2 linked regions of the Oryzias latipes genome follow. The main gene of each other region encodes a partner of the protein of the gene in region 2 in a complex. Links are inferred from orthologs where the notes say so. Each region holds a gene or a part of one and is shown on either strand. Other genes may lie near its edges.

Region 1 (6,851 bases), on a different chromosome or scaffold from region 2:
GAGAAACTCCTAATCAGTAAAGATTTAAGCCCATTTATATGGAAATGCGACATATTGATGTATTTCAGCGTTACAAGATTTTATAACTTTACATTTTAAAATAAAATGAGATTAAATGTTTAACTATAGCAACAAGTCAGACCTAAAATGAAATTACAACAGAGTTCATGGTGAAATATTTTCCAAAAGCTGCCAGCAGAATTAAGAGAAGAACACAGGATGTGCCATAAAATGAGTCCTGCTTTGGAGAAGGACCAAAAAAATTTAATTTAAATCCTGATGCAATGATGGAAGCTAAAAAGCCTCTCAATAAAATCCTGAAATAACAAACCATCCATTAGGAAAGCAGAAAATGTTTATTTGTGGAGTATACAGCTAAGCACTGCTGGTTCAAATAATTAAAAAATATGAGTAAATGACAAGTACATCATCAAAAAAGCTGTGAAAAGCTAAGGAGTTCAGATGACTTTTGCATCCACTGTAGCTTAAAATGTGAGGCAAGGAATGTTCGGTCCATTATAGCTAAAGCAAAAAAAAAAAAGTGTGACTCGATTTCTGCAAATGTTGATATATTATACACTGTTTCTTAAAAACAATTTAAAATACCTTTTTTTTAAACTATGCATATGTATGGAGTTCTCTACGAGGCATCAACAAAGCTTATTTATGCAAGAATACAAAGATACAAAAAATTAATCTTTTCAGTTTAGGAGGTGGATTTATCATTTTTGCATAATAGTTGAAATTATTATGTTCTTCTAATTAAACTGTCCACCAACATTCATTCATTCATCTTCTAAACCCGTTTTGTCCCTTTCGGGTTCACGGGGCTGCTGGAGCCTATCCTGGCCACTCGTGAGCGAAGGCAGGGGACATCCTGGACAGGTCGCCAGTCTGTCGTAGGATGCGTATCAACATTTCCATCTTTATTATATTGTGCATTGGGATATTTATATCATTATAGGGGTATAATTTATAACTGAATTGCCTACATACATGTTCATTTTTTTTGTATTTAACCTCTTGTCAATATTTGGAAATAAACTAAATTAGAAATGAAAATAAAAAATTAAATTCCAATTTTCAATAAGTAGTTGAAAAGATAAAAGGAGCCCCAAAATAATCACATCAAGAAACAACTGGATGGTTATGGCTGTAAATATCCAGACACAATCTCACCTCCAGCAGCAGTTTTCTGCACGAAATCCATTGGTGTTCTTATCTCCTCCAATGAGATAAACAAAATTGTTCAGGACAGCAACCCCCTGGTTAGACATTCGGGGAGACTGAGCTGAAGGCAGAGTCCTCCACTCCCCCCAGCTCGGGTGGAACACCTGAAACAGGTTTTTCTTGTCTGTGAGGGAGGTAGAGCTAAACATCCCCCCAAAACCCAGAATACAGTAGAGGGTGGAGCGGGGCTGCGTGAGAGGACTCTGCAGGACAGGCTGCCACAATTCCTGCTCATGGTACCGCAGCGCAGCTGAGACCGATTGCTTCAGAGGACACTGGTCCAGCCTGCTGTGCAGTCTCTGCAACACTCGTCTCTCAATGAGGCAGAACCGCACAGCTTCAAGCATCTTGAGGTTGTCCTTGAAGACAAAAAAACAGATAAAGGAGTTCAGATTCACTGAGTTCAAGTTAAGCAGATGCTTCACAACAAATAAGAATGAAGAAAAAAAAACACACCTTGAGACTGACCTGCAGATGCACCTTATCAGCTTCCACCTCCTCAGGACTAAAGTGAAAATAAAGAGCCGCCTCGTACACCTCGTTTTCACTGGTCACCTGAAGCTGGTCACTGCTCAGAGCTCTAAAGATCTCCTCTTCAGGGAGCTTTCGGTACACATCCATTCGAGACAAAGTTTGAATGTTGTTGAGGATGTAGGAGCGGACTCGGTCTTTCAACTGCTGCAGCTCAAAGAGATCCGCAAGCTGGAGCACCTCTAAAATGCTGCTGTCATCCAGCCAGGAGTAAAGGAAGTCACAGCAGAAGCCGATGACACTTTCAAGCTGAAACACAGAAAAAGAAAAATACGACTCATAAAAACAAACTGTTTTTTTTGAATGACTGGTTTGGACAAATCTACCTGCACCATGGTGGCAGCTATCAGGACTTCCTGGACACAATCCAGGTCTAATTCAATCTCTGCAGTGTAGATGTAGTCGAGTAGTTTCTTCATGGCCATGTGAGATACTCCGTGAATAAGAATCTCTTTCTGCTGCGTTTCCCGGAGGCCTCCGGCAAACATCCCCCTATAACAAGAGTCGTGGTTTAACCAGGTCACCCAGTCATGAAGGCACAGAGCACGTCGGAATCCTTTTTTCTCTCTTTTCCCTGCACCATTTTAAACTTTGAAATGTCTTTTTAAAAATGTCTGTGCATAAACCGATGGAGTAAAGTACTGTGTCTTGGCCACTTTCACACTGGGATTACACAGCTACTTATGAACAGCAAAGCTTGTGAGTTCACAGACTCAAAGCAAACTCCTGGGGATTTTTCCAAGTCAGAAAACTGCTCCATTAACAAAAACAGACATGTTAGAATAGAGGCTTGCATTCTTAAGGAAGTAACAGCGTACAACAAGGTCATGTGTTACTGTAGAGGGAGATGATTGACACATCATTTATCAGATTATGTTAAGAGTAATTTCAAGAAATATCATTAAACAGAAAAGCTTTTATTCTGACACAAAAATAAAGATGTCATTATTTTAACTTTCTGGTTTGTTGTTGTTTTGGGTGTACAAATAAAGTTATCCTAATTAATAAAGCTTTAAAAATACTTTACTTTAGGTTACTTTAAGTGAATGGTTAAGTGAACTGGCCTGTAATAAATACGAATCAGTCTAAATCTGGTTTATGAAGGAGTAATAGACAATAAAAAAATTATAATGTAGTTTAACATGGATTTAGAGAAAATTTTTGGGAAATATTCGACTAAACATCCCTGAAAAGCTCAAAATAGAAAATAAAAACAAATAAAAACAGGATTGACTGCTGCATCGTTTACCTGAAATAATCGCACGCGGCTGCCAGGAGGATGCGGTGGGCTTGGATGGGTCGACCCTCCACCACCAGGACGACGTCGAACAGGATCCCCATCTGTCTGAGCGACAGCAGGCCGTCCTGCAGGCTGCGAAAGTGGGCTGAACTCCTGAAGATCTGTCGGCCGGGACAGTCTGACGAGCCAGCGCGTCCTCCGACCGCACTCTTTGCTCCGTCCTCAGCCATGACAACACGCTGACCTTCGGGTTTCATCGCTTTTATCTGCCCGGTGCCAACATGACTTAGAGCTGATCCCTTAACGTGGTTTAAACAGAGCGGAACCGATAAACAGGAAGAGAATTAAGCAAAGCAGCTAGCGACCGAGGACGACAGCCTATTCGATTGATGACTGATTTAAAGAGGGCATAAACGTAAAGAATGTATTTAAAGGTTGTATTTTATATACACCTTACCGCCGACCAACTGCACTTGTTTTCCCGGGTGTTGTGCTCTGTTGCGTTAGCCGACATCACAGTTGACGACTAGCATGCTAGTAGTTGATTTAACGTACAACGAAATGATTAAAAAAGATACAGAGTCAGACGTTTTATAACTTTTTAAAATAACTTGAGTACAACGTTCAGAATGCCGTTCAGAGTATTTGAGTTTTGCTATTCAGGTTTGGTTATAATGAGACGAAATCCATTATAGAGTAGAAGTACCGCAGCTGCCTGATTTCCGACATATCAAAATAAGTCTGTTTACTTTTGTTGTCAGGCGGTGATCTGGAATTCTATTGGTCCCTGCATTTTTCTTGTCCCGCCTACTTTCTACGCTTAGCCAATCGTAAAGCAACAACATGGAACATGGATTGTTTCTACGGGATGCCATTTAGAAAGTTACACAGTCAAATATTAACAGCAACATTTTTGTTTTTTTATCCTGTTTTTTGAGAAAAATGTAGGTTTTATTTCTCAAATGCATATATTTACCTCTTAATTAATTTTTTATTAAAACGTGTTACATTTACTAACTAAAAATTTACTTAGGAATATAAATATTTTATCTAAAGCTTAATATATTTTATGATTACTGTATATATCAAATTTGATAAAAGTAAAAATGTATTTTGCAAGGAAATATTTGGATCTGGTCTAAATTCTTTTATCTAAACTATTTATTTAAACTATTTTATTTATTCCTTTAGTTTTTATTTTTTACAAATATTTATGCTTTTTACTAATTATTTAGTTTGGAGCTAAATATTTAACTCCAAACTAAATATTTAGCTAACATGTAATGAACTAGCTGATAAGCGGAAATGAACTGCCAAAATAAAAGTGGAATTTTGCTCTGTCTTTGAACTGACTCTCAGTTAAATTGTCTCCCTGTGCCTCTACTTGTGCTACACTCATTCAAGACATGTCCAACTGCTGGCCGAAAAAACTGGACCAGCCATTTTAAGGGCGAATTTTTTTGTGTAAATAGCCTTCTTCTCAGAGCACCACTGCACTTTTGAGACCTGTCAGTACAGCCACATCTGCTGGAATCCCCCACCACCCCCTTAACTCGAAGGGATCTTTTGCTTTTTAAATGTATTTGTATGATTGACACCAGAGATGGACTGGCAATCTGTTTACTTTTGTAGAGTCCACAATTGTTCCGTTTTGGTCCACAGCCTTCTGTCTGCTTCTTTAATCACAATCATCAAGTGCTTATTTCACATGCCACAGCAGGGGGCACTCATCAAATAATTTGAAATTATTTTAATTGAACAGTCTATGAACAGCCCCCATGTCAACTCCCCGTCGCCTCCTTATCTATCTGCCTTTAAAAGAAATAACAAAATTTTAATGCAGTTGTAAAGCCAGATACAACAGTCACTCTGTAACTTAGAGAAGCGGTATCCTCTCCCCTCATTTCTATGAAATCCTTGATTTCACAGAGAAAAAGCTAAGCAGAGGTTCTGCTCAGCAGAAATACAGTAATTTGTAACTTTGTATTCCGTTACCCCCAATACTGGGGGTACTGTTTGTGAATGAGTTGAATAAAGTTTGAGTTAGTTTATTTTACTTTTTTTGTTATTACTCACTTTCAACTTAATTTGTTAAACGTTCAAACAGAAACTGATAAAAACTAAAGTCTGTCTATTTCTTCTTTACCCAGATAGCCCTATTGTATGGAAGCGATTGTGTAGCATAATTAAAAAAATAAAAGTCAAAACCAGAAATGCTTTTTCATTTTCAAAATGAAGCTGCATTTGTTGACTCAAAATTAAAATGAAAAAGCAATTTGACAAAATGATTTTTCATTTTTTTATTCATCACCGCTTATATTTTGTCACTTAATTAAAATGATATAGAGAATAGTATTTGACATATCATTTTCAAAAAGTTCTTTGGTAAATGTGTTGCAAAGGTCATTTAGAAATGTCTAATTTGACAATTAAAATGGATTAACAGAAATGCTTTTTCATTTTCTAAATGTAACTGCATCAAATGACTCAAAATTAAAATGAAAAATCAACACTTCAAAGTGCTTTTTCCTTTTTTACTTAAAAAACGCTTATTTTGTGTAATAATTAAAACAAAAATTCAAAAAGGGGGATTGCATTTTCATTTTCACATCCACCTTGCGAATAGTATCTCATAATTCAATTCGACTTTGCATTTCCAGAGGGGAGGTGGGGCGATGACGTCAGTGCTTTCTCCGTGTGTCCGGCTGCTAAGAGATTCATGCTAGGAGCAGTGTAGCTTTGTGTTAGTGGCAGAGGAGAGGGCTTTGTGACGGCTGTGCACTCCTGATGATTGTACACAGCTTCTTAGGACTGCTAGCAGCCGGACACACGGAGATAGCAATGATGGTTGCATTGGGATTGGGTCCCACTGGGACCCAACGCAAATCTTGTGGGATTGGGCGGTTTGAATTGTGCTGTGGGCGGGAGCGGGCGGCAAAAAAAAACCCCCGCGGGAACAGTGTTGCCATGAATATCTCATGAATATATAATAGCGGACTACGTTAGGCTGTGCGGCTGTTGGATTCTTATGTACTGAAGCTCCGTGAACGCACCAGGTAGAGACGCCTACTGGCCACTGTCATCTAACCTGTTGTTGGGGGTGTGCAACGCCCCGCCCCGCCTCTTAGAAATTGTCTTCTTTAAAGCCTGATACCGCTGTCGCGTGTGGGCGGAGCTACCAGCTAAAGTTATGGTCTGATCGCTACATGGAGCGTTGTCTGTGTGCATCAATGCATGGTAGACACGAAGAATGTGGAGATATCAGGTTTATTATTTTGAAGAGTTCTACATGGTAATCATGTTTCCATGTTTGCGTTCATGAGATTGTCCCAGAGAAAGTCTCTCTTCAACTCCCGCAGTGAGAGCTGCATCTGAATCTGATGCCCGTGTTTCCATCTCTCTGACAGTTTGAAGCCAAAGCCCCTCCCCCGCCTCTTTACCTGCTTTCCCTTTCTACCTGTTCACCTGTTCATATCCTCTGCAGCTGAGAGTTGTTTTCCCCCGCGCTCATCAGTCTGTTTTACACAGAGAGTGCAAAATACAGTCATCGTAGGTTCGGTTGACACGCTAGTCGGGGCGGTCTAGCACAGCAGAAGGATGAAATAGCTGTGAATCTATCTGGCAACACTGCGCGGCATCAGGAAGGAGCAGGTTGCCTGGCAGGGACATGATGTCAATTGATGAAGCAGAAAAGAACCTTAAACGAGGTTCATCGTGAGACTTGCATGGTGTTCAGATCTGCGTGCCGATGCCCCACTGAGGCGCAAAACAGCAAAAACTGGAAAAGGCTGAAGCTAAAAAAAGTATTTTTCCGTCAGAAAAAAAAATAATTCATAGATTTTCAGCTCTG
Region 2 (6,722 bases):
AACACAATTTAAACTTTGTATTAAAAATACACTGACGGAGAGTCTGAGAAAATTAAAACTGCAGCTGTTTTCTGCTCAGTTTTTGTGACTCCTGAAACACTCCAGTGAGGTTGACTTCTTTCTGACTCCAGGACCCTGAGGTGATGGCCGCCTTCCAGGATGTGGCTCAGAATCCGGCAAACATCTCCAAGTATCAGAACAACCCCAAAATCATGGCTCTCGCTTCCAAGCTGAGTTCCAAGTTCGGAGCCCCCCCCCAGCCATAGAAGTGGACTGGACCAAAACGGAGATGATGTTTGGAGGAGCGAGTGAAATTAAGCTTTTCAACATTTTCTCAGTGTGTTTAGTTCTATCAGGGGAGCAGGTCAAAGTGATGCAAATGTAACAGAAAGATGGAAAGTGTTTTTCACTGGTTTCTTTTTTTTTTTTAAATCTTCCTCAGTTTGTTAGCAACATCAACAAATCAAACAGATGGTTATGGGTCAGTCCTGGTATTTAGCTAAGCCCCTCCCTCCTCTCTGATGGGTCGCGGCTGTGATTTAACCTGCGACAGCAGCTCGGACAGTTCCTGCATGGAACCAACGCCTCTTTCTAGAGCCATTCTACACTCAGTAGGAAATTCCTGGTTGTGAGGCCGCACTCCAAAGCGTGGGTGCTGGTACATGCTGTTGTGAAAGGCTAACTGCAAATAACTTTAATATTCCTGTTGAAAAGTTCACAATAAAAATGTTGATGGAAAACAGCTTTAATCCTCTTTTCTACTTGCACTGATAAATGTACTTTAACTGTCAAATTCCCTAGCTTTTAACGGTTGTCTTCTATTAAAGTGAAAACTTTTCATGATGCCTAATCCATGCCAGCTTCTGCAGAGCAGCAGCAGTTCATTAGAAATTTACCTCCGAGTTGTGGGCGGGAGTGTTGGCATGGAGCAAACCCGCCCCATCCCCTCCCCGTTGTAAAGCGGGGCGCTTGTTGCCCACCACATGAATCTCATCACAAAGCTCTTTTTTTCATCTGAATATAGAATTACCGCTCATTGACTATCGCAGTTTACGTTTCAGTCTGTGTGGATATTTTTCATTGGAATCTTTTTTTTTTTTTTAATCGCAGGTTATTTTTGGAACGTAAATTTGAGCTTAGTTTTCTTTTATGCCCTTCATCAGAAAAAGGCACTAGAGCACGTTGAAAACACCAGAAAACAAGATTTTCATCAGAGTGGGTCTTTAGGAAGTATTCTGTCATGTGTGGAATTTAACAAATAGATGAAACTCATTTTTCTAACAGCTTCCACAATAAACTATGGTAAAGAGAAGTCAAACATTTTGGTGGTGATTTAATTTACACTGAAGATTCGTGTCCTTAAAGAGGGTTACTGCGCTGTCAACATCAATGTGATTTAAAGTCAACTGTATTAAAAAAACAAAAACACAAATGAAAGGTTAATTCCCAGTTTTTTTCCATTTATTATTTCAAACTTTTTACCTTACAAGCTCACCATTTAATTACAACATACTAAAACAAAAGTGTGGAAAATAATACAAGCCGCTGGGATTGAAGAAGCAGTGAAATTGATTCTTGCAGGAAGTGAGCGGCAGGCCGACTCAATGTCCATATCTGTGAAAACATGACAAACAGCTTAGCAATGTCTAAAGCAACAACTTTAAAGAAAATCGTACTTTCAGAAATGTAATCAATAAAACTACATGACATCAATCAAACTTACTTCTGAAACTCCCACTCTCTGTTATCAAGGGGACACACTTGTCTGGTTTTCAACCAGCGGGAAATACAATGGAAATGGAATGCATGCTAAAAGAAGACAAACAGGTGAAAAAGAAATTAGAAATGTTAAGGGCTTTAGCTCTAAATGCTCATATTGGTATCCATCATTTCATCTTCCAGAAAACACACAGATAATCTGAGTCTTCCATCAATTTAATTGGAAACTTACATTGCAGACCCCCCAGGCTACTGTGCATTCCTCTGAGGTTGCAGATGCTTGGTTGGCTTGACATTCTATGCCTGATCAAGAAAACATGCAACGTGTCACAGAAATCTAAACTTGTTGGGAGAAGAAGGGCTTGTAGAAGCTTAGAAGTACTCATTCTGCTAAAAGTTTGAAGTCAAAATGAAGACAGGAAGCTATCAGAGAATGCATTAAAGTGAACTCACAGAGATCCATGATGTGGTTTCTACAGATGGCGCAGTTATCCACAACAATGTCCCAGGCCCACAGCGCCACAGCATTCCACTGAGGGGGACAGAACAATCAGATGAGCACATGTTTAATCTATGTTACCCAGGATTATATACACCAGTTAAATGTTTTAGAACGTTCCAACGTTTCCAGACTTTTTTTTAACCATATCTAGCATAATGTCTTGTAATACTTTGAATGGAAAGGATCGAAAGAAATAAGCAACTGGAATTACAAAAAGAAAACAAAATATAGTTGTTAAACATGTCCACTGATCGGAATGTTAAAACATTTTAGGGAAATCAAAAATATTAGCATTTCCTTCCTGCCATTTTTGATAGACATGGCTGATATAAAGAACATGTTCCTGAATTATTTTCTTGTTTTTGGTCATCATGACACTTTTTTTCCCCCCATTTTAAAAATAGTTGACAGGAAAGATTTAGTGCTTCCTTTTACAGTAAAGATAAATATATCAAATTGCACCTGTCAGGTGCACAAATCAGATAAGCACTTTTAAGGGAATATATATATATATATATATATATATATATATATATATATATATATATATATATATATATATATATATATATATAAAACTTTATAGCAATAATCTAAAGAAATCGGTTAACATGTGAAATACACGAACAAAAATTTAAAATTAGAGAAAAAGATGATGTGCTGCTAGATCTTGAAACCTCAGCTTTATGCTAAGCTAAATTAGCATCCGAATAGCACAAAAATAAAACAAATATTAAAAGAATTAAGATTATAGCTCTCGTTACCATTTCAAAAACGCTGTTTTTCTGTTACGCTCGACTGAAGGTAATCTTGTAAATATCACAACATGGTCTAAGTTATGACATTATTTAGAAATGCACATTCATTTTCGTTAAGCAAGCTAACTTTATGCTAGGCAACATCGAACATGCTAATAGGAGTCGTTAACCAGCTAGAGGAGGTTAAAACAGACAGGGCTCCTTTGTTCTTCTTTTATATAGCAAACGTGTTTGACCAATCCAGAGTTGACCAGGTAATAAATAAAATCAGACCTTTTTAACTTCGAAGCGTTTCTTGCTTGAGCCACTGTTAGCACCACTCGGTGTGTCAACGTCCATCGCTGCTGCCATCTTGAAACGTCGTCTGTACAAAGCCGTCCGGATGTAGCAACAGTCTCAGTCGGTTAAGTTCATTAACTTAACCGACTGAGACGGGAAAGACGAAATAAAATAACAACCAAAACATGAATTTCATTTAAAAATTAAATAAATTAATTAATAAATAAGCACAACTTTAAAGAAGATAGTAAGTGATTCCATAGACGAGGGTGGAAGAAAAATCTCAGGTCCCACCGAGATTTGAACTCGGATCGCTGGATTCAGAGTCCAGAGTGCTAACCATTACACCATGGAACCATGTTGAAGCCACAGCCAAGAATTATTAAGGTACCATCAAGACACCGATCACACGTTCAATTCGAATATTGTTAGAATTCTATCTACTAAACAGGTTAACTACATTTTTGCAGCTTAACAATTTCTTTAAAAAGAAAAATTTAAAAACAGGAACTTCTTCATTCATCAAAACGGTGAATATAACGGGTTTTAAAAATTATTAGCATCCTGCCGTAAATGATTTAATGCTAAGTTAACTTACAGGCCTACTTTTTGTGTTCCGTGCTATTTATTATTTGAAAATAAAATAATTGACAGACACTTTAATGTTTGACGATTGTTGAGGTGAACAGGGGTTCCATAATATTTTCTATGTTCTTTTAAATATGCATTACAGGGGTTCTATTATATGTTGTATTTTCTTGTTATTATAATGGATTCTATTTTTGCATGTATATTGTACTGCACAAATATGCTTGATTCCTGCCCTCAGTAGCAGATAATATGTGACGAGGTCACCAGTAGGCCTGTTTTTGACTTGCAGTCTCTGCTTTCTTTCTGTACTGGAGTGTTTATGGAGCCATAACAGCTGCAATGCAGACTAGACAGAAACACACCATTCTACTGACGTATTTTGTATGTTTTCATCTTCCCTTACTTAATAATAAAAAACGCCTTTTTGCCTTGAGGACAGAGAGAGCGGACAGCCACAGAGCCTAACAGGTCATGTTTTTCCAACTCTCCGTTTTTGCAAAAGGTTTGAGAATTCATGCAAACTCTTGTGTCTTTTCGTTTCCCCAACTGCACATTTCATTTTTGGACGTCCTGAACCATCCGAATCCGCGAAGGCCGGACAGGAGGCCAACAGGATCAATAAACTTATATATTTTGTGACTTTTAATATTTTTTGAAAAGTTGTATTCTGTTGTTTAGAGTAGCTTTGCCTACAAAATATGAAGATAGTGCACACAACATGTTGTATGAAGCAGTTTTAATAAAAAAACAAAAAAGTTGAACTTTTTCCCAAACAAAACTCTTTGTAAAGAAACCACCAAAACATGATTCATTTTATTATAATGCCATCTTGTTCATGGTCTTTTTTGGAGTCCCAGATTTTTTTTGTAACCTTTTCTTAGATGATTTGCTTAGTTTCGACTTCGCAGGTCTAGTTTTCACTTTGGGGGGCTTCAAAGAACCTGGTTTGGTTATTGTAGAAAGTTTCGGCTCCCTGCTGCCCTCCTGCTTAATGGAGGCGTTTTCTGAGCAGGATGCGAAGACATTAATGTCTCTGACTTGCTGACCTCTGAGGTCAGGAGGGTTACCGCAAGTCGCTGTAACTTCAAATCTCACACTCTCCATCCACCTGAAACACAAAGATAGTACACAAAAACACAAAAAAAGTTATGTGAGCTTACTGACCGTACAATGTTACATTTGTGGGCTCTGATAATTGTTGAAAACTCCCCTTTTCTGATTCCAGCACCCTGGTAAGGACCCTCACTGACCTGCGTAGGGGCAGCAAAGCACAGTCGCACAGCAGAGGGTTGTCTCGCAGGTCCACCCCTTCCAGGCCTGTAAGTGGTCTCAGGTCAGGCAGCTCCTTCAGCTGGTTTCCCCTCACAGTCAGATGTCTAAGAGCTGAGCCCAGGTCCTGCAATGCATCTTCAGACATCTGGAAAAATTCAAAATACCAACCAATCACACAGTCTAAAATGAACTAATTGGAAAAATTAAAGATTGAATCAAATACTCCATTTGGATGAAAGAGGATCTTGGAGAACTAGAATCTCCTACCTTTTCCATTCCCATATGATCCATATAAAGCCTTTTCAGACTTTGGGATATGGGCTGGAATGCCTTTCGTCCAACCCTCAAAATAGGATTTTGAGATAAGCTGAGCTCCTCCAAGTTTGGGGTTTTGGTTAGAGCGGAAGTCGGCACCTCAGTCAGCCGGTTGGAATCCAGGTAAAGACATCCAATGGAAGCAGAGGTGAGAGCACCTCTGGCCATCACATTTGTGCTGTTATTACTCAAGGACAGTTCAGTGGGAGTTACAGAAGATAGCAAACCGGAAGGCTCTAGTTTGGAAATATTGTTACGCTCCAGGTGTAACACAAACAAATTTGGTAAAAGAGAGAGAGCTGTTAGGAGACACAGAAGCAGAATGTCAGTCAGTTCTCTTTATCTGTAGTAACAAAATACTTAAAGTGAGCTCACACTGACCGGATCCAGGGAACTGTGTCAGCTGGTTCCCTTCCAGGTGGAGATAGGTGAGATTTTGGATTCCAGCAAAGATCTTTGGATCCAACAATGTGAGGTTGTTGTCAGAGAGATACAAATAAAGCAGGCTGTTCATTCCCTGGAAGGCACCACCTTCAATTTCATGGATTCCACACGACTCTAAGTGAAGAGAAACTAATTTCCCAGTGCCTGGAAAGCTGAGGGCTGGAAGGTAGTGGAAGTGGTTTCCACGGAGTTCAAGGAGCTGCGTCTTTGCTGGGAAGCCTCTGGGAACTTTGGTGTGACCCTGGCCTTCACATGTAGCATGATGTGTTTCAATCTATGAGTCAAATATAAAAAAAGAAAAAACGTATTTGTAAAATGATTAAACTGTCAAGAGGTTATTCTGAGAAAAAAAAAACAACTTACATCACATTTACAGTTAGAAGGACATTTGACTCTCTGCTTGGGCTTGGCTGTGGCTGTGATGTTTCCTTTGTTTTCCTCCTTATTCTGCTCCTCCTCTTCCTCCTTCTCACCCAGGCTTTGACTCCCACCATGACAGCGTAGATCCGAAGAGGTCACTTCCTGCAGCAGCTCCTCAGACAGATGTGGGGGTTCAGTGCAGGCGCCCAGCAGCTTCACACCTTTGGCGGTCGCCCACTCTTTGAGAGGCTTTAAGTAACAGTTACAGTAGATTGGGTTGCCTGGAAGAAGAATTGTTTTTCAACTGTTTGCTGAATTTTAATAACATCTTTCTGATCACTCAGACCAAAAAAAAACAAATAAAAAACACTTTCATATTTTATATAGTACTAAACTAATAAAATACTACTGAAAACTAAACTAAACTCAGTTTATAGTAACTTTAGAGAAGGACTCATTTTCACCCTTTATTACAGGAAAAT

The links.
Region 1: rbx1 (region 2) and klhl22 share a complex: the UniProt entries of both Homo sapiens proteins name them as parts of the BCR(KLHL22) E3 ubiquitin ligase complex. The link is inferred for Oryzias latipes from reciprocal best matches to the Homo sapiens genes RBX1 and KLHL22.

Annotation. Positions count from the first base shown.
Region 1 is NC_019867.2:20,705,243-20,712,093, reverse strand, and holds the start of klhl22 (kelch-like protein 22), read right to left. Parts: upstream 3,772-6,851; 5' UTR 3,516-3,771; coding exon 3,459-3,515; intron 3,301-3,458; coding exon 3,011-3,300; intron 2,254-3,010; coding exon 2,088-2,253; intron 2,011-2,087; coding exon 1,687-2,010; intron 1,590-1,686; coding exon 1,180-1,589; intron 1-1,179. UniProt on the Homo sapiens protein: Substrate-specific adapter of a BCR (BTB-CUL3-RBX1) E3 ubiquitin ligase complex required for chromosome alignment and localization of PLK1 at kinetochores.
Region 2 is NC_019866.2:19,408,188-19,414,909, forward strand, and holds rbx1 (E3 ubiquitin-protein ligase RBX1), read right to left. Parts: upstream 3,567-6,722; 5' UTR 3,331-3,566; coding exon 3,253-3,330; intron 2,252-3,252; coding exon 2,173-2,251; intron 2,023-2,172; coding exon 1,952-2,022; intron 1,810-1,951; coding exon 1,724-1,809; intron 1,615-1,723; coding exon 1,602-1,614; 3' UTR 1,437-1,601; downstream 1-1,436. Other genes in the region: st13 (hsc70-interacting protein), read left to right, coding at 132-266; chondroadherin-like protein, read right to left, coding at 4,666-4,957, 5,100-5,266, 5,389-5,735, 5,818-6,154, 6,244-6,521. UniProt on the Homo sapiens protein: E3 ubiquitin ligase component of multiple cullin-RING-based E3 ubiquitin-protein ligase (CRLs) complexes which mediate the ubiquitination and subsequent proteasomal degradation of target proteins, including proteins involved in cell cycle progression, signal transduction, transcription and transcription-coupled nucleotide excision repair.